Linked DNA regions of Nothobranchius furzeri. The protein of the gene in region 2 purifies or fractionates together with the protein of the main gene of each other region. This does not show direct contact. Links are inferred from orthologs where the notes say so. Each region holds a gene or a part of one and is shown on either strand. Other genes may lie near its edges.

Region 1 (3,500 bases), on a different chromosome or scaffold from region 2:
ATTTGATTTGATATCAAATAGCATGTTATAATTATGAAAGACCTCTTAAAATGAGCAAGCAATTGCCAGTTATTCTTCAAGTTTTATTCAAAATTAGTTTGCATAACTTCAGCACTTCAACTTTACTTCACAGTAAACAAATGCCTGTGCAAAAAATAAGTAAACAACCTGAGCTGATTTTCCCCTCGTGTGAGAATCTGCTAGCCTGCAAGCCAGACAATAACTAGGAGGATAACGCTGCGAGCGGCTTCGGCCCAAACAGAACCAGAACCGCTCACGGCGCAAACAGCTCGCCAGCTGTTTCCCTATTAACACACGTCCGTTTTAATTTCTACACTTTTTTTTCTCACACTAACAAGGATTGTCGAGAAAGCATGTTTGCTGTGGTTTTGTCAAATTATACTGATCACAAAACATTTATTTACTTTCTTTCGTTTTCCTCCGCCACTCATAAATACCCGTGTCCTCCTGCAGAAACCCCGAGGGACAACGGACATCAATAACACAATAAAAAGTCCGACGTGTTGTGTAAAAACTGCTATTTTTAGCACATTTTAAGTCCGACGTGTTGCTACCAGATGTACGGTGTGAGCTGAAACTGAGTGCTACAAACGAAAAAGTCGCACAGTGCCTGCAGAATATATAGAAATACAGGCTAAAAAGCATTATCTTGTAGAGGCTCCGAGTTCCCTTGCAGAAGTGACATTTACAGGTGCTGCAGCACGGAGGATGTGGTGTTGTAGTAGGCTAAATCCATGTTGTTACAGTATTTACACTGGACTACGTTTTCCACCTTACGACGTGAAAAATGGTTCCACAACTTTGACATTTTCTGTCTTTTTCTCACTCCACCGGGGTACAAGTTGTCCGCCATGGCTTAAGAGAAAGTTAAGTTATATTCGCTACTCGCGTGTGCAATCAGTCCAGTGGGCATGTGCGTCACTTATTTCGGTCCGGGTGAAACATGACCCCGTGCGTTTGCAAAGCCATGAATTAATTAAATATGAATTAAACGAATCCTCGAGGCAGAGAATTTGACTCGAGGATTTTTTGTACTCGAATTATTCGAGGTACTCGAGGAATCGTTTCAGCTCTAGTGCCGTACACAGGCGCCACCGGTCCCTCCGACCACCACCAGCAGACAAGGGGGTGTAAGTGTCTTGCCCAAGGACACAACGACGGCGCCAAACTGAGAGGGGTTCGAACTTGCAACCTTCCGATTACGGGGCGAGCACTTGACTCGTGCCACCGTCACCCCTGGTTCCGACTCCACTGTGTGTGACTTCTTTTGTGCATGGAGGTCGCTTTGGTGCCGTGACCCGTTCACACTGGACAGTGTTCGGTGTCGCATTTCAGTCATAATGTGAACAGCCACACAAAATAATCAGATTTACTCAAAAATTCAGAATTGAGCATCAAGACCTGCATTGTAAACGTAGCCTAAATTATTATTTCAAAAACTCTGACCAAAGTGGAGATCTGGGGATTCTGTGTTGTCAGCATACGCTTGTAGACTTAAGCCTGATTCATGCTCCTCCGTCTGCGTCAGTGCGGAGACACGCAACGCCATTATCCGTCCTTGTGGGCCTGCCGGAGAGCTCCGCAAGGACGGATTGAGTTGAGCTCTCTTTTCTAAACATCCGTCAGTCGAGGCGGGCAACGCAAGCTTGTGATTGGTCAGGACGCCGCTGTTGTTTACAGTGCCGCCATTGCAAAGAGAGCTGAGGAGAACTAGCAACAGACACGGAGCAGCTTGAAGAATACCTCGCGAAAACACTAAAAATATGAACGTTTAATTCTCCCGTGACTGGAGGAGTGAAAAGATGCGCAGCAAGTGTTTTATTTGTGGACAGAAATGACAGGAAACGTGGGTTTAGAGGTGGGGAGCGCATGAAGAGGTGGGAGAATGAGAGACAAATATGTCTGTGTTAAAAGTCTCTTATATACACAAAAAACACAATATAAACGCACTATCTTGGACCGATACATGACAGGATACCACAGAACAGCGCTACGCCCTCTGTTGTCCTGCTGGGGAATTGCTTTGCAACACTCCCCAGGAGACGGAGAAGTATGAGAGCAAAACGCTTCCGTCAATCCGTGCGTGTCTGTCCCTTGCGGAGCTGACGGAGAAGCCTGAACCAGGCTTTAGAGTTTTAGGCTTTGCAGTGTCACTGCTCCCTACTAAATGACTGACATCACAAGTGTGACTTGCGTTTACACTCGTTTGTTTTAAAAAGCTCAAATGCTGCTCTATGTAGAAGACCACAGGCAAAAGTCAACAGGACAGCTATTGTCCACCACCTAATTATTCTTCATCCAAACAATGTTTTTTTTTTCTTGGGGAGGCGGGACTACTACCATCTACAGGCTTAGCATTCCTATGAATGTAATGGACTTTTTTTGCTGTAACTAGGGACGTCCTGTTCCGATATCGATATCAGCCCAAAAACACTATCAGATTATATTGGACTGCATGAAAAATCTCCGACATAAGCCGTCCGTTTCACTTTAAATTTCCTTCCAGCAATTCTATCCAGCAGCTCCCAGATCCAGCATGCAAAGTCAGCGTGGTCAGAGCGTGCATGCTAGCAAAGTAGCAGGGAGCAATGGCAACTGTGCGGCAGTCGTGTTTGTTAAAGTCCACAGAAGACGGTGTAACTCAGTGCAACATTTGCCATGCACAAGTTTCCCATGGTGGAACAGGACCAGCAAAGTTTAATACCTCATTGCACGTTTGAAGCAGCATCACAAAACACTGCATGAGAATTTTCACCGTTGAAACTTTGGACACTCAACTTGTAGCAGTTGGTAAAATGTGGGTTTTTTTTTCCTGATGTTCCTGCCCCAACTCTTCCCACCATTTGCTGACACTAAAACATAACTGAAGTGACCCTGAATTAGTATTTTGTACTTTAAAAATATATCTTTAGTTTATGTGTTTACTTAAAATATTTTTCAGTCTTTTAATTTATTTCTTTTTTTATTCATTTGTTACACGTTATGTTTAAGGTTTACGTTTATGAAACCAATGGTTAAAAAAATAGTAATTTCTTTCATACTCACTGTTGCTGGCTCTTGTTCTCCGATTGAGTAATATCTCACGATCAAGCCTTTCATACGTTCCACACTATGAAATAGGTAAAAGTATGTGTGATATGTGCTGTTATCAAGTCGGATTGGTATCAGTCAATACCGGTATCGTATCAGAAGTGAGAAAGGACATCCCTAGCTGCGGAGTGGATCCAGGGTTTTCCCTAGATGGGCGGGGATGATGTTCGGTTTTAAAAACAACCAGACTACACATTTCCATGGCTTCAGGGACTGAATTTGCTTCTTAATTCTCGTTCCTTTAAAATGAAACAAACACATTTTTCTTCAGTTCCCTGGAAAAGAAATCCCTTCTGCGGGACAACGTGGACCTCCTGGTGAGCCTGGCAGACGTTTATTTTAAAGCCGGGGACACTAAGAATGCTATTCTCAAATTTGAACAAGCGCAG
Region 2 (4,248 bases):
CTTAAAATCCTGTGGTACATATCCATTTACTAAGGATAGATTGATTATATCTAGAATGGGGGCAGTAACCAAAGGAAATGCTTCTTTAAATTATTTGGTTGGGATTGGAACCAAAATGCAAGTTGAAGGTTTAGATGAAGCTAATATTTTTGATAAATCTGAAAGCTCAACTGGATCAAAACGGTTCAAACACAGATGAGGTTCTACTGTTACCTCTGATGCTGCCTCACTTACTGAGGAAGAAGAAATCGCATTAGGGAGGATGCTAAAGATTTTGTTTCTAATAGAATTAATTTTACTTGTAAAAAATCCCATGAAGTCATTGCTGCTGAGGGCTAAGGGAATAGATGGCTCAGAGCTATGATTCTGTGTAAGTTTAGCAACTGTACTGAAAAGAAATGTAGGATTATTCTTATTCTCTTCAATTAGCTATGAAATATAAGCAGTTCTAGTTTGTCTAAGCTTATTTTTATAAAGCACAAGACTATTTTTCCAGGACAGGTAGGCCTCCTCATGGTGCGTAGAGCGCCATGTTCTCTCCAATTTCCTAGAGTTTTGTTTTAAAGCTCGTAAATGAGAATTAAACCAGGGAGCCAACTTCCTGTCCCTAATTACCTTCTTTTTTAAAGGGGCAACATCATCTAATGCCACACGTAAAGAGGAAGTAACATGATGAACTAAGGTATCAATTTGTGAGGGGCTAGAAATGAAAATATTGCCCTGTGCTACATGCCTCTGAGATGCTGAGGACAGTAAAGATGGAACAGTTGATTTAAAAGACGCAACTGCGTTGTCAGATAGAGACCGACTATAGTGAAATTTACTTTCATGTCTCGAGAACTCAACTCAAAGGTTATCAGAAAGTGGTCCGAGAGGACTGGATTATGTGGAAAGATCGTTATTTCCTCACACTCTATGCCATAAGTCAGCACAAGGTCTACTCCCTTCTGGCTAAACTCTTTCTCTGCCGTAGAAACTAGGGAGAGAGGTGCAGATTATTTAATCCGGCCTTCATAACAACCATTTACAACTATTTTATTTAGTCACTTGTTGGTTTGAGTCTTTACAGTGTTATAATTCTCCTGTCACAAGGTTCAGCTGTTTAAAGAGTCGGTGCAGGAAAATCCACCTCAGGACCTGCTTTTGTCCTCACACGCTTTAGCTGTTGTGTTCAGGCAGTCATTTAAACTCTCTTATAAAAAGACGGAGGTCAGACAATAAGCCGGTGACTTCATGGGAAAAACACTTTATAAGTTAAAATAAAATAACTTACATACAATAAAAACTAGATACAAGGATTAACCATCCATCCATTGTCCTCCTCCCATCTGGGCTTTGGTTGCAGACGTGACCCTGTGTGGATGAGCGGATGCAGAAAGCGGATGGCTCTACGGTTACACTTATCTACACTGCCCTCTAGGGGCATACAGATGTAAACGCAGCACTAGGGCGTGATCGGCACAAAAACGCGCATGCGCGTAGTGTCCAGCTGACACATTTTCAAAGTAGACGGCGGGTAGTTGAGTCGTACATAGAATCAGCACAAAGCTTCCTCGAGGAAAGCCAACCAGTAGCAGTTGGAAAGATGACCAGCACGCTGAAGGGAATCACTCTGAAAGGAAGTACAGAACTAGTGGCCGACTTCTTCTGTGAGTGTTCATGTCTCTGTTCCGCCTTTTGAACGCCGTTGACACGACGCGCAGCTAGCATGCTAGCGGGCCTCGGTGTGGCTCACCCAGCGTTGCAAGCTAAAGTCTGGTAAAGGGATACAAACGTGTTGCCTGAAGGTTTTTAAACAGGTCGGTGCTCTTACAGGTAGCGTTTCTGATATTTAGCATTTGGTGTAACTTTAACGTCAGTTGAACGTGTTGGAGGCAGTCCGCTCCGCTGGTGCAGAAATCCCGTTGAAAGACGAAAAAGAGCTCCGTTTACAGGTAAAACTGCACTGTTCTTGTGTGGCTTGTATGCCGAATCGATTAGAAGAGCGACATCAGTTAAATATATCGTGCTCTTATTCTACAACTTGTGTATATTCCTAGCAATCTTTGTGAAAGCTACATTTACCCGTTTAATGGACGATGTTTGGTCCAGGATGGAGTTGCTTCACACTGAAGATTCTTTACTCTTCATATTTAAATATTGCATACTTGACTCTTCCTATTCTAAACCAATCTCTGCTCACACACACACACACACACTCAGGTGCAGCAAATACAACGTACAAATGTTTTGTTTGTTCACAAAGATTTTAAAAGTTTAGCATAAAATAAGAAGGCAGGAAAACTTAAAATATGACTAAAAAATCCCTAAAGTAAAACGGGGAGTGGCCCCCTTATATCAGTTTTCTATTGGGCCATTCCCATCTGTACCAGGCCGGGTAGCCCCAGTCGGCCCCAGCCTGGCCCGGTTGATTCCACACATCCTTGCCTTAAGCCCATGTGGGCTGATTCTACCCACCAATCAGAGGCTTGCTCTAATGGAAGGTGTGAATTTGCTGTCAGCAGTGGGTGTGTTGGCCCTGGTCGGCCTGAAGCAGACCCCCTCGAGAAGAGGGCTGAGAATGAGCCTTGGTTGGCCCGGAAACATACCAGGCCACCCAGATATGTAAACAACCTACGCTACCCGGGCCGACCCGGTACAGATGGGAATGGCCCATATTTCTAGTCACAACCACCATGGTATACAAACACGTCGGTCTTCGTTCTGCAGAAACTCTTTACACTGACATGAGTCATAGGTGACTCGCTTTGCAGCACAGATGATGAGTAGACAAGCTTTAGTTTGACTGCTTGAATCAGAGATGTGCAGATGTGATTAACAGGAAACATTTCCCCCTCATTAGATCGTCTTATTCCTGTAATGAAGGGTTCTTGTGTTCTAAAACATGACGTGAAACTGCCCTCTGTTCTCCTCAGCCTTTGGCATCAACAGCATCTTGTATCAGCGGGGCATCTATCCTCCAGAGACGTTCTCCAGAGTCACACACTATGACATGAGTCTGCAGGTCACCACTGACTCCAAGCTGAAGAACTACCTGACCAACGTGGTGTCTCAGCTCAAAGGTAATTAGCTGACCGACCAACTCCGACTGGAGCTTATGCGTCCTCAAAGAGTGCCCAAACAGAGGTCAGAGGTGTGTTTGACTCGAGGGAATGCTCCTCTGTTCTTTGAGCTTTAGGCTCCACCCACATTTACCTTGTTGTTGAATCTAGGCAGCTTGGGGTCTCTACTGTAGCGTACCAAACCCAGTTGTGAAGCAGTAATGTTGTAATGGCCACGGAGAAACCGTTCGCTCTGAGACGAGCTTAGAGACGCCACCTTACATCTGCATGTGCCAACCCGCGGCCATGCTAGCTACAAATGTTTCGGTAAGCTTACCGCCGTCCGTTATTTCTGTTTATGTGGAGCTGAGAACCGACCCACTCCAAAACCAGATAACAGGTATGGGTGCCTGCAGCGGCCAAAAGGCCTCAGAAACTACCATCTGCTACTGTCTTTCCCTAATCAGTGATTTCAGCCATGTTTGCCTTTCTAACTGTAATAACTCTGCTGTATGACCCACGCCAGCATCACCTACTGTGGTGGACGTATTCATGCCTTCAAATGAGCTCATGTTGTTTTCACCTGGGCAAGAAAAACAAAATGACCAGATAATCATGACATGTCCCACCTCTTGTATTATGTCCCCCAAGCTAGACAGGTGTTGTCAAAAAAATCGATACCTAGATATAAATTGATACTAAAAGTGGTATCGATATTATAGACTATTATACACAGCCTTCTTCAAGTACACCGACACGCACGACATCCAGATGCCGTAAAGCAGCCTCCCCTTCCCAGACAAACAGAAGAAGCTGCCGCATGGCTACATTGCAATTTCCCACGCGAGTTGTCTCCGATCCAAGTTTTGTCTGCCAAATAAATAAACAAAAACATAAACATCAAATTTGGGAGGTGCTTCACAGCCCAACTTAATTAGCATACCAAATCCGGCACGTAGTTGTGTATTCACGCTTATGTGCTTAAAGGAAAACTCCCGTTTATTGCAACCCGGACTTAATTCTAGCATGCAGTACGTTTGTTTACTCACGCTGACAACTTTGGTGCTGCTTGGATTCCCCGGGGTATTTAGATCCATTAGCGAATCGCCATCAGTGTATATCCATATAACGGGAGCGGACAGGCACCCATGGTGCAGCCTCGAAATAAGACATTATCTGCACCAAAACATCTCAATGTCGAAAGTTT
Region 3 (4,258 bases), on a different chromosome or scaffold from region 2:
TTCTGAATGTCCAGAAAGAAACAAGATGCTGTGATTTGAAGCAAAGCAGGCGAGTTTAGCCTGCAGACTGATGCAATTATTACCTTCTGCTCTTCTGTGAAATCTGATGAATTTGAATTTTGGACCTCTTTCTGCAGCTGCCTTGCTAATCTGGATTAACGAGAACAGTTAGATGGGTTAATCAATCAATTCCAAGACGATTTGTCACATCAGTGGGCTGTTCTGCGCCCCCTTTTGGTCAACGTGGGACACTGTCAAGTCATCTATCTGCACTAAAGAAATCTAAAACGTGTCATTAAAATGAATTATTACATAAACATGATCACATCCTGAAATAACTTGCGGAGTCTGATCTCCTCAGAGAACAAGAGAGCTTTCCTCACTGAACACACGAAACCCACCCATAACAATGAGAGGGTGTGGCTGACTGTTTCCCAACACTCTAAGGAATATTGGTTATTCTCTTCTCCTAACGCTCAGAAACAAGACATTCAGCTTTGGGTGTTTCTTTTTGTTCTTCTCCCCTCTGTGAATGAAGATGGGATGGGACTCCGCTGCCTCTGCAACAATGCCACATCACGTCATGGATGGGAAGGGTTTATTTACTGCTGTGGGGGCTGACTGACAGCTCCGAGGCTAACTTCTGCAGGTTTAAGAGCTGACAAGCTTTAAGACAGCAAAAAAATAAAAAGCTAAACAAGCCGTCCTCGCTGTTCCAGATGTTTACACTCAATCGTACAAAAATAAGACACACATGTTGAATGTAACTCACATTTGGTACTCGTCTATAGCCTCTACCAATTGTCCCCACGAGTCAAAGTCTGTGCCTTTCTTGAAACTGGCGTGCCATTTCTGAATAGTCTTGTTGACATCAGACATTTTGGCGGGGCGGATACTCGCGGCGCTCTCAGGGCAGCATAGCCGAGGTGGAGATTTATTTACGCAGCTTCGGCAGCCTGGTTATCTCCCGTCCAGACATACGCGGATAAGACCGGTGACACACGGACCAAGCCCTTTCTGCCTGTTCAACACTGGGACTTCCGGTGCAGACAGGAAGTCCCGCCCCGGGGTTAGGTGCACTCGTTTTAGGGTGCTGGGTTGCCTGACTGAGAACAAATCACAACAACAAAGTGCTCTAATTTGAATTTTCGATAAAAAAAATTCATTGCTTTAAAAAAAATTTAAACTTCATAAAGCAAAAATATATTTAATATATTAAAATATTTATCATCCAAAATACTAGCATTTACTTTTTAACGTTACTTTCATGTTTAAAAATGTCAATAAATAAAGAGTAACGTATCCCAGAAACCTATTCTATTCATACTTTTTTATTTATTTTGCCTTGTTCAAAAGATTTACAACACGTGATACGTGCCGTTATACAAGAAATAATAAATAAAACATTGATATTTATTTTAGCAGTTTCCCGTCGCTTTTATTTCGAAATGAATTGTACCGTTTTCCGGTGTCTCCCGGATCGCTACCGCGTTAGCATGTAGCAGTTATGTGACGGAAGACACACATCGACATATACATATAAGACACAACAACAGCGGAGTGTTTGGCCTGTGACAGAATGGCTTAACATGGATAGTGCAACGGCGGATTCATGTTCGGCTGAGGACGGTGAATGTTCGGACTCGGAGGTCTTGTGTCTGATGAGAGTCGGAAAAAAATCAGACTGGCTTCGTTTGTTCGAAAAGGCAGAGGTACAGTTTGCTAATGTTAGCTTAACTAAAAAAAATCATTTTCAGGATTGTGCTATGTATACATACAATAGGCATGCCATTTTATTCATTAAGTTTTTTCTAACGGCGTAGTGGACCCTGTTTATATGGAAAAACTGTAAATTGACGTTTGTTTTTGACTGCTCAGATCACTGTTGGACGTGGTTTGGATGTCACCTACCAGCTGCTGTCTTCAAGTAGTCCTCTCATGATCTCCAGACTGCACTGTGCCTTCAGACAGATAGAAGACGGTCACTGGACAGTGGTAGACAAAAAGGTAGCCTTATTTCTTGAGCTAACTCTCCTAAAATTGATCTCTAACAGATGATGGGGCTATTATTAACAGCAGCAGCTAATACCAAGTTAAATCTTAGTAAATAAGTTATTATTATTATTATTATTATTAATTATCTTCCACAGAGTCTCAATGGTGTCTGGGTGAACGGAAATCGGATTTCTGCCGATGAACCTTACCTGCTCAAACTTGGAGACTCGATCCGACTTGGAGTTCCTTTATCAGGAACCAAAGTAGAATTTGATTACATCCTCATCCGGCGACTGCTCAGAAACATTCAGCCGTACCTGGCAAAGGCATGTAGAACTTGGGCTAAAGAGCCGCAAGTCTCCAAAAAATCCAAAAGGAAGTTGACTGTGGAGGAAGTCGAGCCTTCTACATCAAAGCCTAAGCTGTACCGCTGCGATTCAGAAGGGAAATCTTTTGCAAAACCCTGTCCTCTGTCTGCGGTGAAATGCCAGCAGCGGCTCAGTAACACACACCTGGAGGAGACGGCATCCAGCACACAAAAACAAGAGCAGCACTCTGATGGATCCAGTGATCCTTGTGAAGTGGACAACCTGCAGAGGTAAAGTGTGACTCCTCGTAAAAAAGGTTCTCAATCAAACCAAAGACACTGCTCCTTTACAAGCTTTTATTTAATACATTTGCTGAATTATGTGTCACATATTCAAACAGACTCCTCTCTACTTTTAATGAAAATAATACTCTTTAGGAGTTGTCCATTCTGATGTTCTGTTGTGTAAAAGTTGTAAATATTAATGTATAACCTGCAGGTACAGCCAGAATCTCCTGCTGTTACGGGAGCAGGTGGATGACACCCAGAAGCAGGTATCATCTCTTGGAGGAGAACCCAGGCGGGCAGATCCTCTCCGACGGGAGCAGGTCCGTGAGCTGCAGGGTCAACTGGAAACCCTTAGAGCCAAAATGTGTCAAATGAAGACTTTAGAGAGAACCTTCAGTAAAACAAGGAGACAGTTGGAGGTCAGGAGTGTTGTTTTTTTTTCTTTTTGAAACATCGTTACATTTTCATTCCCCCAACCCGCAATTGCTTTATTTTACAGCGTTAGTTTAACTTTTAATTCTCCACATTTCAAAATGATTCAGCCATACTTTAAATAATCTTGGTAACGTTGCAAAAAAAAGATCTTAAACATAACAAAACCTGTTAAAGAGCTACATTTCTGCATCATATTCCATATCGATATTAATATTCCAGAGCATATTAATATTGAGCATCTTTTTTGGGGTTTCAAACAAAAGCGCCACATATGGAAAGTAACACGTTCCTCACCCTTCTTGTTCTGACATATGTGAATCAAAAGGTTCATCTGCATTTACAATTAGAAAAATATATATGTCCATAAAAATAAAGTTTCAATTTAAGTGAATCGTCTGTCTTTTATGCGTTTAGGAGCAGAAAACACAGCAGCAAGAGGAGCTAATGAAAAAACAACTTGAAGAGGCTCTTCAGGAAGTAAGAAGGTTCAATTAAACTAATTAAAAGCTGTTAACACATTTAATTTAAACTAACAGTTTTTTAGTTTATTTCTTTAAGTTTTTGATTAAATGTAATAAAAAGTTTTTTTGTGCCTGTTTTTTCAACAAACAGCAAAAGAAAGTGATCGACGAGCTTGCCGACTCTCGAAAAACATTTGAAGAAATCCTCTCTGCGAAAAACAAAGAACTAGAAGAAACAAAGGTGCCTGAAAGACACTTTTTAAAACACACATTTTTACCTTGGTTGTCACTTTGATTCATATTTTTTTTCCTCCAGGAGGAAAAAGAAAAGGCGAAAGCCCAAAAGGAGGAGGTAGTAACACAAGTCACAGAGGTTCTGGAGAACGAGCTCCAGTGCATCATCTGCTCAGAGCTCTTCATCGAGGTAGAGCCAGGAACCTGTTTGGGATCATCTTACTCACAAAAACCCGACTTCACCTGCTGAAATTAAAAAAAAATGTCCCTGTACAGGCGGTCATCCTGAACTGTGCTCACAGCTTCTGCTGTTACTGCATCAAGTTGTGGCGCAAGAAGAAAAACGAGTGTCCCATCTGTAGACAGGCTATCGAGTCCCAGACCCGGTGTCTGGCCCTGGACAACTGCATCAACCGTATGGTGGAGAACCTGAGCCTGGACATGAAGGCCCGGCGGCAGACGCTCATCACTGAAAGGAAAGGTGAGAGGTGTGTTCTCATCATCCACGCCAAACTCATAGAAATGAATCATCCATCTT
Region 4 (4,168 bases), on a different chromosome or scaffold from region 2:
AATCTTTCCCAGTCACAGTGTGAACATTAATACAGCTGCTCTGGACAATACAAATCGTCTGCTCCACTTCTTCTGCAAAAAGACAACAATTAAAAGCATGTAGTCATTTCAATAAAGATAGAAAGGTAGAGCTGCAGCAATTCTTACTAGCCGACAACAAACGGTCTTAAATATTACTGTACCGTCATTGTTGTTTTGAAGAACAGCAAAGTTGCACCATAAAGCCTTCAGAAAAAAACAAGATTGTGTCAAGACCGGGAAAGAAACCATGAGATTTCATTGAGCTTTGAATTTAACAATTAAAATTTATATTTTCTAAACAGAAATTGATATTTGGCTTTCATATTTGCCAACCTGCTGCACTGGACTGTCAACAGTGAAAGCCTTGTACACACTAGAGGCTTGTGTCCGGCTGCCTTGACTCCAAACAACCACGTTTCCAGCCGCATAAAGCTCTTCTTCAAACATGACCTCCTCTTCTTTGACTCCCGTGCATCCCTTCCTTAGCTGCCACCATTCCTTCAATTAAACGCCATTCATTAGTGTGAACCAAAGAACTACTAAACAATAAACATGGCACATTTCAAATTAACGCTCAAAGATCATGCAATCTCACCCTCTCTCTCTCCTGCAGACTGACTTCCTGCAGAGACCCTACCAGGCCAGCAGCACCATCAGATGACCAGAGCTCAGAGGCTGGCTGGAGCTCTCGAAGCTGCAGGTTGAAGGCATTTGGATGGTTCCTGCAGTGCTCGCGGCCAAACGGGACAAACGACTGCAATTCCCCTGCGGCAATCATCGTGGCTGTCTCTTCATACACGACTTCCGACATGAGTTACAGATTTCAGCATTATTTCTGTGGCAAAATAAGAATAAAGATAAATAATTAGAAAGACACACACACAAATCTATCTCTCTAGACAGATAGACAGACTGAATCATGTGTGGAAGACATGAATACAATTTAGACAGAACAGTTAAAATAGCATTTTCTCCTATTCAGACCTGAAAACATGTTAAATTTTAAATAAGAACTCTGGCAACAGTTAATGTCTTTAAATACTGTATTATAATTTTATTTATTCTTAATTAAGATTCTATAAGTACAGTCAATTGCAGAATAGCACGAATTAAGTCATCACTTCTCTATTAAAGATTGTTACGATCGTTGTAGTCAACGATAGTTTCAGAAGCTACGCGTCTGTTCATAATAGGTTCGATAGGTTATTTTAGCAGCCTTAAGCAAAGCTCTCTTTTTATTATACAGCTGGAAGTAACCAAACATTAGCATGCTATAGCTAATCCCTCATATAGAACCACTGTTAATTGCTAGATAGCGTGTTAGCTAGCATTAGCATTAACAATACAGGGACATATTTATTCGCTTGCCTGATAATAAGGAATAGTCTGGCTCTTGTCGCGGAGTCCTCGTCTTTTATTTTTGTAAGGCTTGTTTGAGCACAACGGTGTGACCGCTGCGTACAGACAAAACGAGTCGATAAAGCTGGCAAAATAATGATTTGGCTACAACAGGTTTTCAAATGACCGCGGACATCTTTGCTGTCCAGCCAGCCTTTTCCTCCACGGCTCAGCCAATAAGCAACGACAAATTTACGTACTGGGAGCTGATTGGCTGTCGTGATCAGGACGGTCTGTGTTCGACTGTGCTCGACCAGAGACTTTTGTGTATTTTTTCTTTACTTTGTGAGTCTGTTTTGTAAAACATTAATAGTGAAGTCCCTTAACTTGTCTAAAAATACAAAACCAATTAATGTATAGTTCATACCACACAAACAAATCGATTTTTCATCGATAAGTCAAATTTGTTTTTAAGATTTTGGGGTAATTAAATTACAATGGTAAAAATAAAGACAAATGTGTTTAATAACTATGATTTCCAACCATCAATACGTAGGGATATTGTGTTTGACAAATAATACATATTGCTGGTTTGTACCCGGCTAAAATGGCCGTAACAAAAGAAAAAGATACCTGGTTAATAATGTATTGAATTAAAAAATAAAACCAGACAAACATATAAAAACAAAAATTAGCATTCTGGTGGGTGAAAATCAGATTAGAAATTATATGGTTTGAATGAGTTGACTTAATGTACATACAAAGGTTAGAAATCAGTCAAGCTGAAGAAGAAGAAGAAGAAGAAGAAGAAGAAGAAGAAGAAGAAAATATCTTTTCTATAGCGCCTCTCAAGATAAAAATCACGAAGCGCTTCACAAAAAAAAGTAAAATATAATGTAGCGGAATATAATTGGTATATTCTTACACTTTTATTAAGGTCCAGAGATATCACTGATTCAAACCTGAGCTGGATCATTAATCTTTGGACCGGGCCCTTAGAATCAGAAGAGGTTGTTTTTACCACAGGGGATTTTATTCAAACACCTTGTATTGAATTAGAGACAAGAAGAGAGAAAGAGCTGGGACGTTTAAGAATATTTATTTTATAATTATTCGAAACAGTCACCAGGACTAACTCTCTAATGATGGATGCAGATGGATGTAAGCTGAAGTGTTGGTGTGTGTGTGTGTCAGTTCAGAACCTCCATCTGGTGAAAGCGAGTCTGAGTGCGAGTTGTTGTTGCCCTAACTGATCGACGATGGACTTCAGGAGGAAGACATGAGACGCTATCTATGCCGATCTACGTACCGTGCGAAGACCTCCGTGTTAGATCCAGATGCCAGGTCCTCAACCCTCCTTGGTGCTGGAACTGGTGAAACAGCGTCGGCAGCACAACAAACCAGTCTATGGCAAGTCTCCCGGTACAACGGCAGATTTCAGCGTCACATAGTTTTCCAGCTTGACAGTTCTCAGCTTAAAAGTAGAAAATACAACTGGCCAGCCTGTACTTCACTTAGCGATGATGTACATCAGATGGATTTGAGAGCTGGTTGAACTCACGTTGGAACTACGTTGAAACTTGCGATGGAACTAAATTAAAATGGCGTTGTTCTCTTTTACTAAGCTCAGTTGTTTATGATTCTTAGCGAATCGGAGTGGACAGATTAACTAAACACCACAGAGCTCTGCCACACATCAGAAAGGAAGTTCTGATTGGATGAGTGAACAATGTGTCATGTGTTTACCTTATGTGGATCAGGATGTCTAGCTCAGTTAGTCCAAAGTCCTGTTATTCATTAAACACAAATCATAACATTGTGATTTCACAGATCAGTCACCTGATTATTATTGACCAACAGTTGTTTTGATTAGCTTTATTAGAAATAAAGTTCTTTGATTAACTAATGAAAAGCATTCTTCGTCCTTCTTCTGTCTTCTTTGCTGGAATGTAAACATCACAAGCAAGCGCACGACCTTGGCAACTTATGCACACTGTCACTGTGTCAAAGGGCAGCTGTTAAGGGCAGAAATGGCATATTCATAACGCTACAATAAAAAATAATTTAGAAAATAATTAGAAATATATTTTAAATGAGCAAAAAATAGACAATTGTGATAAAAAATGTAAAGAAAGAGAGAGAGTGAATAGGAAAGAGGGAGATCAGTGGATCCTGAGGAAGGTGGAATAGGTAGGGAAAGCAGAACAATGAGAGGGTGATGACGGTCATACCAAAACCAGCTTGAACAGGTGAGTTTTCCACTGGTTTTTAAAGGAGACCACTGAGTCCACTGATCTCAGGTTCAGGGAGAGAGAGTTCCAGAGTCTGAGGGCCACAGCAGCAAATGATCTGTCACCTTTGGTCTTTAGCCTGGTGTGCTGCACAACCAGTAGGCTTTGATCACTGGACCTCAGGGACCTGCTGGGGGTGTAGGCACTAAGAAGATCACCAATATAAGATGGTGCTTGTCCATGTAAGGCCCTATAGACCAGAACCAGGATCTTGAAATGAACCCTGAAGTTGACTGGCAGCCAGTGAAGCTGGAGGAGAAGCGGGGTGATGTGGGTGTGTTTGGAGGACTTGGTCAGAAGCCGAGCACAGGCATTCTGAACCACCTGTAGACGGTTCATAGGTCCACATTACCTCAATCCATCAGCTGCAGCAGAGGTAAAATGCCCCGATCAGCCTTAAGGAGACCCACAAGTCTGTAACACAAACAACTAGAAAAGTTTCTGAAGAAACTTTGCAGGGGACTGTCAGCTGCAGCAGCATTTTTAACAGAAAAACGCTGCAGTAGCTTGAAGTCTTA
Region 5 (3,942 bases), on a different chromosome or scaffold from region 2:
ATGCTCCGTGTTCTCTTCCCCATGGCTAGGGATGGACTTCTTTTAGACCTCTGAATAAATAAAGTCCTGTTGTTGCCACACTTACTTTAGGGATTGTAGTGGGTAAACACATCTCACAAGTTTGTAGTCCTTGTGTTCTGTAAGTTTATTGTGTTGATTATTTTTTCCATTTTAGAACTGATGCTGCTGGCATAGATTTGTGTAAATAATAATAAAAAAACAGATAAATGTTTTTTTCTTTCCATTGTATCTTCAATATTAGTCACTGATTAAATAGTTTAAGTGTAATTAATTTAATTTCTTATCAAAGAAAAATGTTCAACTTTTAGAAAACTAAAATCTTTGCGGCAATAATAACATTATTATTTGATATGAAGTCGCTGGTTGACAAGATGTCCACAGTGATTGTAGAAAGTGTCCACTGGAACCCTCTCTACTGAAAAAAAACCCAGCATATGTTGGTTCAACATGTGATGCTAATCCTGCATGAGAGATGCTGTTAATTGGATTCTAGACCATCATGCAGACTAGCATCCATCCTGGACCAGACAGCATCCCATGCTGACTAGCGTCGTGAGCTGGACCAGCCAGCATCCAAAACACAACTTATCCTAGTTTTTTTTTTTTCTGCAGGTTTGCCTTATTAGCCATCTGATCCTTTAGGTCAGGGGTGTCAAACTCAAATTCACACTGGGCCGAAACGAAAATCTGGGACGAAGTCACGGGCAAAATATGCTTAAAGTTTAGGTGATTGTTCACATTATTGGTGATTAGTTTGACAGGTTTAAAAAATATTCTGAAATTAATGAGATGAAAAAGTGTTGACAAGTAAAAATAAAATTGTAAAAGAAGCAGGTACTTTCAGACACCTTGTTTTTGTGACATGTTTTAAATGTGTTGGAAAAAATAAAAAATTTTAGCTATGCAAAATGAACATGCTATCTTAAGTTTTTTTCAACCTAACGTCGTGTAACAGGAACTAATAAAATTCACCTGTTCGAGTACGGAGCGTTTATGTTGCGCACAACGTATTAGCCAATCAGAAGACAGCAAATTTGAGTTGTAGCCAATCAGAGACTCGTCAAGCAGGAGAAGCGCATTGTTCAAAAAACGTTACAAGTCATCGGGTAAATTCAGTCAGCTGGAGCTCAGAGAGCAACGGTACTAGATACAGACAGGTTACGCGATTAGCCACAATCTCGACGCTTTATTAGTTTGGTTTATAAATATTTTTACTTTCTAGAAGCGTTTGTTGTTCTAATCACTGGAACCCAGCCGCTAATTCCTACAAGCTTCTGCTGAAAGGTGGGTCATTCTACGGAACATGTTTACTCACGGCCGAATACTTGGGTTTTATAATCCTGACGAACCTAACCACTGTTTCTTCTGTTGTGATTGGTTAGAGTAAATGTACATGTTTTATTGTTAAACCACCACTTATACTTGTGTCTTCTGTCGTGTGCTTCACTTCTCCCATTTGTGTTTCGGCAACAAGAACGATATCAGCCATTGGACCATCCAGTTGTCGGTCTCCCACACTTCCCTGGGTCCTCCATTACTTACTTGTGTATTTAACAAGTGTGATGTGTGCTTTCAGACTAGTGATGGGATTTGTGGCTTTATCATGGGAGCCGTTCATTAGTCGGTCGTTTACGTCAAAGAGCCGTTCAAAAGACTGGCTCCTTTGAACGAAGTGAAGCCAAGAGAGGGGGATCAATAGCACTGTCTTCCTGCAGTGTCTGTGAGGGCGCACGGGGTTGATTAACGTTCCTCCCACAGATATGCATGTAAACACTTGTCTATATACATATCCATGGTTCCTCCTACATCCGTCACAGCAGTGGGTGGGGTTTGAGGGGGTGAGTTTGACCGACTTCCGGGGAGGTTTGTTAAGATGAACGGCTCTCTGCAGGGACTCGGCTCTCATCATTCACTTTGAAAACCCTTTCAAAAGATTCGATTAGTTCGTGAACGTCACATCACTATTTCAGACAGTTTTTAATCAGCATTTTTGTCACTAGGCGCCACTAAAACACACAGATTGGTCCTTAAACATGATAATTCACAACAGAAAATATGAATACAATATAATTATTTAGACAAAACAATACTCTGAAGTGTCAGCTGGTTTTCTGAGTGTTCAAGTGCTTAAGAAATGTATTTTTTGCATGCTTCTATGTGCAGATAGAAATGTGTGCCAGACAAAAAAAAAAACTGTTAGAAATGCTGTTATTGGCACTGGGGAATCAAACTTGTGTGTTTTCCTGTTTGGTTCTACACGAATCACCACATGCCCTTCTGAGCTGCTCTTTCCAGAACTGCGCTGCTCTGGGTGGCTGCATGTTGGAGTAGCTCTGTTGACTATATGCAAGTTTAGCCTTTTCTTGGACATTTTTTCTTCTAGTTTCTCAAGAAAAACAGTATTTATTTATTTTTTTATATTTTACTTTTCTGTTTCTGGTGCTGTGAAGCTTGGAGGATTTTTACTATTTTTTCACTTTTTGAGCATTTGTTATGTGTAACCATGGCAGCTAGCTGGTTTACAATCGGGAGCAGCTGATTAACATTGGAAAGGCTGAAATAATACCTCAACTGAAGCCACAAATCCCAAATGAGCTAAAAAGCAAGAAGCGTGGGTGCAGAGCGGGAGCAAAACGGAGATAGAGGAAATTCAAACCATCTCTTCCATCAATCATAATGGGCAATGTGAGATCACTGGCCAACAAGATGGAGGAACTCCAAGCCCTTTCAAGGACTCACCCAGAGGCCTGTGCAGAGCAGCTCTGTGGGATTCTGCAGCACCTCTTCAACCTCAGCCTGGCCCAGGAGAAGGTTCCAGGCCTGTGGAAGACATCCTGCCTTGTTCCAGTTCCAAAGAAAACTCGCTCATCAGTTAATGACGACTACAGACCGGTTCCCCTGACATCCCACATCATGAAGGTCCTGGAAAGATTCCTGTTGGTCCACCTGAATAAGCAAACTAGGACATATCAGGCCCCGCTGCAGTTTGCTTATCGCCATGAGTTGGAGTTGAAGATGCCATCATCCAGCTGCTTCAACCAATCCACTGTCATCTGGACAAAGCAGGCAGCACTGTGAGCGTCATGTTGTTTGATTTCTCCAGTGCATTTAACACACTCCAGCCTGATGTACTTTGCCAGAAACTCCAGAAGACACAGGTGGGGGCCTCAACTATCACCTGGATCAAAGACTACCTGACAAACAGACCACAGTTTGTGAGGCTGAAGAACTGCACATCAAACCAGGCGATCAGTAACATTGGAGCACCACAGGGGACTGTACTCTCACATTCCTTTTTACCCTGTACACCTCAGACTTCCAGTACAAATCAGAGACCTGTCATCTACAGAAATACTCGGATGACTCTGCAGTTGTCAGGTGTATCAGAGATGGACAGGAAGCTGAGTACAGAGAGCTGGTGGAGCGCTTTGTGGCATGGTGTGGAAACAATCATCTGACCTTGAACATGAACAAAACATAGGAGATGATTTTAGACTTCAGAAGAAACAGGGTGGAGTCAAACACTGTTTCCATCATGGGAGAAGAACTGGAGGTGGTTGAGGAACACAAATACCTTGGAGTTCACCTGGACAACAGACTGGACTGGAGAAAGAACAGCGAAGCCGTTTACAAGAATGGACACAGCAGACTGCACTTCTTGGGGACGCTTGGGTCCTTCAATGTCTGTAGCAAGATGCTCCAGATCTTCTACAAATCTGTTGTTGAGAGTGTAATCTCTTCAGCCATCGTCTGTTGGGGTAGCAGCATCAGAAGCAGGGACCTGAAAATGCTCAACAGCCTAATAACAAAGGCTGGTTCTGTTCTGGGGACGACTGTGGAACCGCTGGAGGAGATAATGCAAGGAAGGATTCTCCAGAGAATCAAGAAAATGATGGACAACCCTGAGCATTCTCTTCACAA
Region 6 (4,150 bases), on a different chromosome or scaffold from region 2:
CGTTCATCTTGTCTTCCTGTAACGACAACCCCCCTAGCCGCTCAACCCCCACCACTGCTGTGACACCCACTCTCCGCGCGCCCTCATGGACACCGGAGGAACACGTTGCTCCCAAATACACCCCCATGGCTTCGTTCAAGGGATCTAGTCTTTTGAACTGCTCTTTAAGGTAGACGAACAACTAACGAGCAGCCGCCTTGAAAGAGCTATAAATCCCATCACTAATAAGCACACATGCTAAATTCTGCTAATTGTCCAACAAACTCACACAGCAGGCAGGAAGTGTGGTGGTCTGCCAGGAAAAACTCTGACAGGAAACAAAAACAACTGACCTGAACAAACTTAGTGAGACGATGATCCATCTGCAGGAGGATGTCCTCCCACGCTTCGCACATGCATGTGAGTGACAGGTGCAGGTACTGCATCAGGGTGGAGATGTGAGTGAACTTACGCGCCATCCTGGTGAGTTCAGGCAAACAGTCCGACAACAATCCTGTGTCCAGCTGAAACACAAGGAGGGAAGTTAGAGTTAAAGGAAAGAAAAACAAAGTGTGGAGGAGGAACGTGTCCATCTCACCTGGACGTAACAGATGTCTGCGCTGCTGTCAGCAGACTTGACTTCTGTGATGACAGACAGAGACTTGAGGTCACTCGACAGACTCAGACTGCGACATGTTCCTGAAACCTGTAGAAAGTTCATCAATTAAAGTCACAGTCAAATCCGTTAATGCCGTCTACTAAAGATTTTTGGCATAATTAGCTACTTTTTTCCTGCATTTAAATTAGAATTTTTATGATTTCAAATATCTATGCTAACTTTAGAGTCACTTAAAAACATTTTTGGTAAATTTTTTTTACAGACGACAAATGGAACAACTCATCTGAACAAACAGAGCTGCCTTACCCCATCCAGCGTTGCAATCTTGTACATCCCGTACGCATACAGCTCCACATTTCCACCATCTCCTCCAAGAACAAGTACATTTAGTCTGCATGGAGACAGCTTTCATTGGTTCCCATAAATAAAAATTCCAATATCTTAAGGATGTCCATTTGCTCCTGGCAGTAAGTGACTCTAACCATATTTACCTCACTTCTCCAAGGAGGTTGAGTATCTCATCAGACTTCTCCTCACTGTGAAACAGAAATGAATGCAGTCAGTTTCTGTTTGTGCTATACATGCCACATACATCTATGATAAAAAAAAAAGATGTCCCACCTGAAGATCTTTGAAGTTGTGCTGTAGCTGAAAACAAAAGTTTGGACAAATATCAGGCCAGTCAATCCAAAATGTCTTTTCTTGTGACAACATTTTTAATTTTACCTCTTGGGAAGAGTTGGTAATTTAGGAAGAAAAAGTTTAGATTCATCCTCTGAAGTGTAAAAGGAGCTGAGGACACTGAATCACACACAAAAAATCCTTCATATCAGCTTTGACAAGATTTCACAGAACGTGGTATGTTTGTTGAGCTTCCTGATTACCTGCTCTCCTCCATCACCTCCATCCAGTTCATACAGGTTACAGGACTCTGCACTGGAAACATGTGGAGGATCTCTGCTTTCTCAACCCCACAAAGGACAACCTGCTTGGTGTCTCCAAGACTGAAGGCCAATACTGGGGTTACAAAAAACAAATTCTCACAATTCCATTAAGACAAAAATGTGATAAAAAAAAATCCCTTACTTTTGCCATCAGGCCTCCAAGCAAGTGCGGTTATCTTCTTTCCAGTATATTCACTGGGTGGTAGGCTCCAAACCCGGTGGAAACTAGCCAAGCGATGCAGTAGCACCTGTTGAAAATCACAATAATAAACCATCCAAACAACAGGAAACAGTCACCTTGATTCAGAACAGTTAGGGATTTAAAGTCACCTCCCCAGTTGTGTTGGCCAGAGCTATCAGATCCCTCTTTGGAGACCATGCCATACAGAGGACCGGGTTTGGAAGCTGCTTCTCTCCCACTTGCCGAAAGGCAGGCATGTTGTTAGCTGAAAAAGAAAGAAAGTTTACATTCATTATTGTGTGATAAATGGCCAGCAGGGGCCTAATTACAAGGTTTAGAAGATGTACCAAGATGGGCTATTAAAAGTGAGAACAGATTCAATGAGTGATCTGTAAAACATCTAATAAACCTGTACATGCATAACAGAATAATCATCAAAAATCACATACCTTTTCAATATTTCGTTTACTATTGAATATACAACTGATTATTAAATATTAAAAATCTTTTTCTGTAAAGATAATAAATAATTGTAACAATAAAGAAAAATAGAAATGTTAGCATTTGAATACAGAGGCCCAAATGCAGAGTCAAGAATCAGTAATGAAAGAACCGAGTTATGAGCATGACGTCAGCAATAAGACACACTAAACAATACAACTCAATGCGGAGAGCAACGAGACCTTAAATTACACTGCGATGGAGACGAGCTTTGAAACATTTATGTGTTTTCTGCGTGATAACAGTAGAGTTTTCAGGGTCACAACTAAAAGAGAAAACATTGAAGTACTTAACGAGATTCAAAAACAAAAAGGGAGCTAAAGGCACAACACTTTTCCATTTCCAACTCATTTTATGAAGCATAAATTAGCCGCTCGTTAGCTGGAGCCTCACTCACCGGTTTTGCTAACAGCTGTTAGCTAGCAGGTAAAACTGATGATTCACAGCGATTATTTTAACCCGACCAGACGATAACACCAAATAAACCCAAATCGTAAATATACGAATTTAATATCTCATCGTAATATTTTCGCAGTCACTCAAACACCGCCATATTTCTACTTCCACCAATCCCTGTAGAGCAACGGCAGCCGAGAAGAGACAAACGTATTCAGAAGGGGGGGGGGGGGGGGGGAATAAAAAAAAACTCGATTCCTAAATATGTCTAGAGATTTGCACCCCATGATGGCGCCTTTGGTAAGGATTTAAAACAAATTAAAGTTAACGTTTTGGTCCTATTTTTATTTTTTAATAAATGTTATATTCTATGCAGATTAAAAAGTAGATTTAAACTTTGAGGGTTTAGGACAAAATATAAAATAAGTTTTTTCATAATGTGTTTTTGTACTTCTCTGTCAATTGAATGCATTGCTTAGAATTTGTTTGGATTTAAAAGTTAAAAGTGATCATAAAATTCAAGGTTGACTAAATTATATTAATTCCATTAGAAATATAGGAAAGTTTGCAAGGGTGGTTTCATTCTGGTGATATAAAACTATGCTAAAATATTTCAGTACTCATAAATAGATGCTGTACACATGTTATATGGAGACGTCGCCATTGGATAAAGTAGTTATTTATAAATAACACTTCATACAGAGGGTTGGGTGATGACAATTGTCAAGTAGAAATCCAAATTACTCACCAAGTGTTTGCACACGTGTGTATTGTGAGTGTATATGGAAACTCCTACTGGACTTATCAGCAGCACTTAACTGTAATCAGCAGAATGAAGAAGAGCCAGAATAGCTCAGAGAGCACAAAATGTGATGGTGGACTAGAAATAGACCAAGTGAGGCTGCATGGTGGTCATGGTTTATTCTTTCCAAGGCCCAGGATATCTGTCTCGCTTGGTGAGAAATCAGGAAATGCATGAAGTTTAACAAAAATGCTGAGCATCATTCCATATGTGTGTGCAGAATGGAATCGGACCGAATAGTGACCGGGTTCTTCAAGATCCTCATAATAATTTTGAGTTGTTTTAAAGCCATGGAGGAACCAGCTCAGTCTGAGAGGTCAATGGGTGATTATTGTGTGTTTTCAGATGTGGCCAGTTCAGATTATCATAAAAGATTACAAACATTCTGTTGTACTTGCATACAACAGCACAATTGGTGTGAAACTTAGCCATCCCAACATCCTGTGCTTTCTGTGTATAATTAACCAACACCTTGAGCTCCTTCTGTTCACCTAGACCCCCTCAGTCTTCATTGCTCCTGCCAGCAGTCTGGCTGTGTAACATGAGCTAGGGGCCAAATTTAGCCCCACTCAGAGAGCAGTTAGGGACCAGCACAGATGGGACAGCAGCCCACTGCAGAGGCAGAACGCAATTGGACCCTAAACCTGAAAGATCCTACCTGTCATCTGACCAATAAGGCTGCTCTTCTGGGGAGAGAGGCAAAGCCTCTTTTTGTTTCTTTCTCACAT

What was found.
Region 1: the proteins of mad2l1 (region 2) and anapc7 purify together in Homo sapiens (affinity purification with mass spectrometry; 3 studies listed by BioGRID and IntAct, with this or other methods). This does not show direct contact. The link is inferred for Nothobranchius furzeri from reciprocal best matches to the Homo sapiens genes MAD2L1 and ANAPC7.
Region 3: the proteins of mad2l1 (region 2) and rnf8 purify together in Homo sapiens (co-immunoprecipitation; 3 studies listed by BioGRID and IntAct, with this or other methods). This does not show direct contact. The link is inferred for Nothobranchius furzeri from reciprocal best matches to the Homo sapiens genes MAD2L1 and RNF8.
Region 4: the proteins of mad2l1 (region 2) and anapc1 purify together in Homo sapiens (affinity purification with mass spectrometry; 3 studies listed by BioGRID and IntAct, with this or other methods). This does not show direct contact. The link is inferred for Nothobranchius furzeri from reciprocal best matches to the Homo sapiens genes MAD2L1 and ANAPC1.
Region 5: the proteins of mad2l1 (region 2) and kif20a purify together in Homo sapiens (affinity purification with mass spectrometry; 4 studies listed by BioGRID and IntAct, with this or other methods). This does not show direct contact. The link is inferred for Nothobranchius furzeri from reciprocal best matches to the Homo sapiens genes MAD2L1 and KIF20A.
Region 6: the proteins of mad2l1 (region 2) and anapc4 purify together in Homo sapiens (affinity purification with western blotting; 14 studies listed by BioGRID and IntAct, with this or other methods). This does not show direct contact. The link is inferred for Nothobranchius furzeri from reciprocal best matches to the Homo sapiens genes MAD2L1 and ANAPC4.

Annotation. Positions count from the first base shown.
Region 1 is NC_091757.1:28,335,477-28,338,976, reverse strand, and holds part of anapc7 (anaphase-promoting complex subunit 7), read left to right. Parts: intron 1-3,382; coding exon 3,383-3,500. UniProt on the Homo sapiens protein: Component of the anaphase promoting complex/cyclosome (APC/C), a cell cycle-regulated E3 ubiquitin ligase that controls progression through mitosis and the G1 phase of the cell cycle.
Region 2 is NC_091743.1:87,157,328-87,161,575, reverse strand, and holds the start of mad2l1 (mitotic spindle assembly checkpoint protein MAD2A), read left to right. Parts: upstream 1-1,448; 5' UTR 1,449-1,585; coding exon 1,586-1,649; intron 1,650-2,915; coding exon 2,916-3,062; intron 3,063-4,248. UniProt on the Homo sapiens protein: Component of the spindle-assembly checkpoint that prevents the onset of anaphase until all chromosomes are properly aligned at the metaphase plate.
Region 3 is NC_091742.1:8,358,452-8,362,709, forward strand, and holds the start of rnf8 (E3 ubiquitin-protein ligase rnf8), read left to right. Parts: upstream 1-1,458; 5' UTR 1,459-1,589; coding exon 1,590-1,712; intron 1,713-1,878; coding exon 1,879-2,007; intron 2,008-2,150; coding exon 2,151-2,593; intron 2,594-2,801; coding exon 2,802-3,009; intron 3,010-3,439; coding exon 3,440-3,502; intron 3,503-3,637; coding exon 3,638-3,727; intron 3,728-3,802; coding exon 3,803-3,910; intron 3,911-3,996; coding exon 3,997-4,201; coding exon of another isoform or gene 4,202-4,208; intron 4,209-4,258. Other genes in the region: aida (axin interactor, dorsalization-associated protein), read right to left, coding at 1-2, 84-150, 773-879. UniProt on the Homo sapiens protein: E3 ubiquitin-protein ligase that plays a key role in DNA damage signaling via 2 distinct roles: by mediating the 'Lys-63'-linked ubiquitination of histones H2A and H2AX and promoting the recruitment of DNA repair proteins at double-strand breaks (DSBs) sites, and by catalyzing 'Lys-48'-linked ubiquitination to remove target proteins from DNA damage sites.
Region 4 is NC_091752.1:26,758,761-26,762,928, reverse strand, and holds the start of anapc1 (anaphase-promoting complex subunit 1), read right to left. Parts: upstream 2,801-4,168; 5' UTR 2,669-2,800; intron 1,529-2,668; exon of another isoform or gene 1,390-1,528; intron 857-1,389; 5' UTR 833-856; coding exon 617-832; intron 520-616; coding exon 355-519; intron 226-354; coding exon 183-225; intron 73-182; coding exon 1-72. UniProt on the Homo sapiens protein: Component of the anaphase promoting complex/cyclosome (APC/C), a cell cycle-regulated E3 ubiquitin ligase that controls progression through mitosis and the G1 phase of the cell cycle.
Region 5 is NC_091750.1:46,176,495-46,180,436, forward strand, and holds the start of kif20a (kinesin-like protein KIF20A), read left to right. Parts: upstream 1-1,142; 5' UTR 1,143-1,161; exon of another isoform or gene 1,162-1,243; 5' UTR 1,244-1,305; intron 1,306-3,942. UniProt on the Homo sapiens protein: Mitotic kinesin required for chromosome passenger complex (CPC)-mediated cytokinesis. Following phosphorylation by PLK1, involved in recruitment of PLK1 to the central spindle. Interacts with guanosine triphosphate (GTP)-bound forms of RAB6A and RAB6B.
Region 6 is NC_091748.1:39,288,442-39,292,591, reverse strand, and holds the start of anapc4 (anaphase-promoting complex subunit 4), read right to left. Parts: upstream 2,801-4,150; 5' UTR 2,622-2,800; intron 1,989-2,621; 5' UTR 1,981-1,988; coding exon 1,873-1,980; intron 1,791-1,872; coding exon 1,685-1,790; intron 1,616-1,684; coding exon 1,483-1,615; intron 1,400-1,482; coding exon 1,325-1,399; intron 1,247-1,324; coding exon 1,220-1,246; intron 1,135-1,219; coding exon 1,090-1,134; intron 990-1,089; coding exon 905-989; intron 686-904; coding exon 578-685; intron 504-577; coding exon 333-503; intron 1-332. UniProt on the Homo sapiens protein: Component of the anaphase promoting complex/cyclosome (APC/C), a cell cycle-regulated E3 ubiquitin ligase that controls progression through mitosis and the G1 phase of the cell cycle.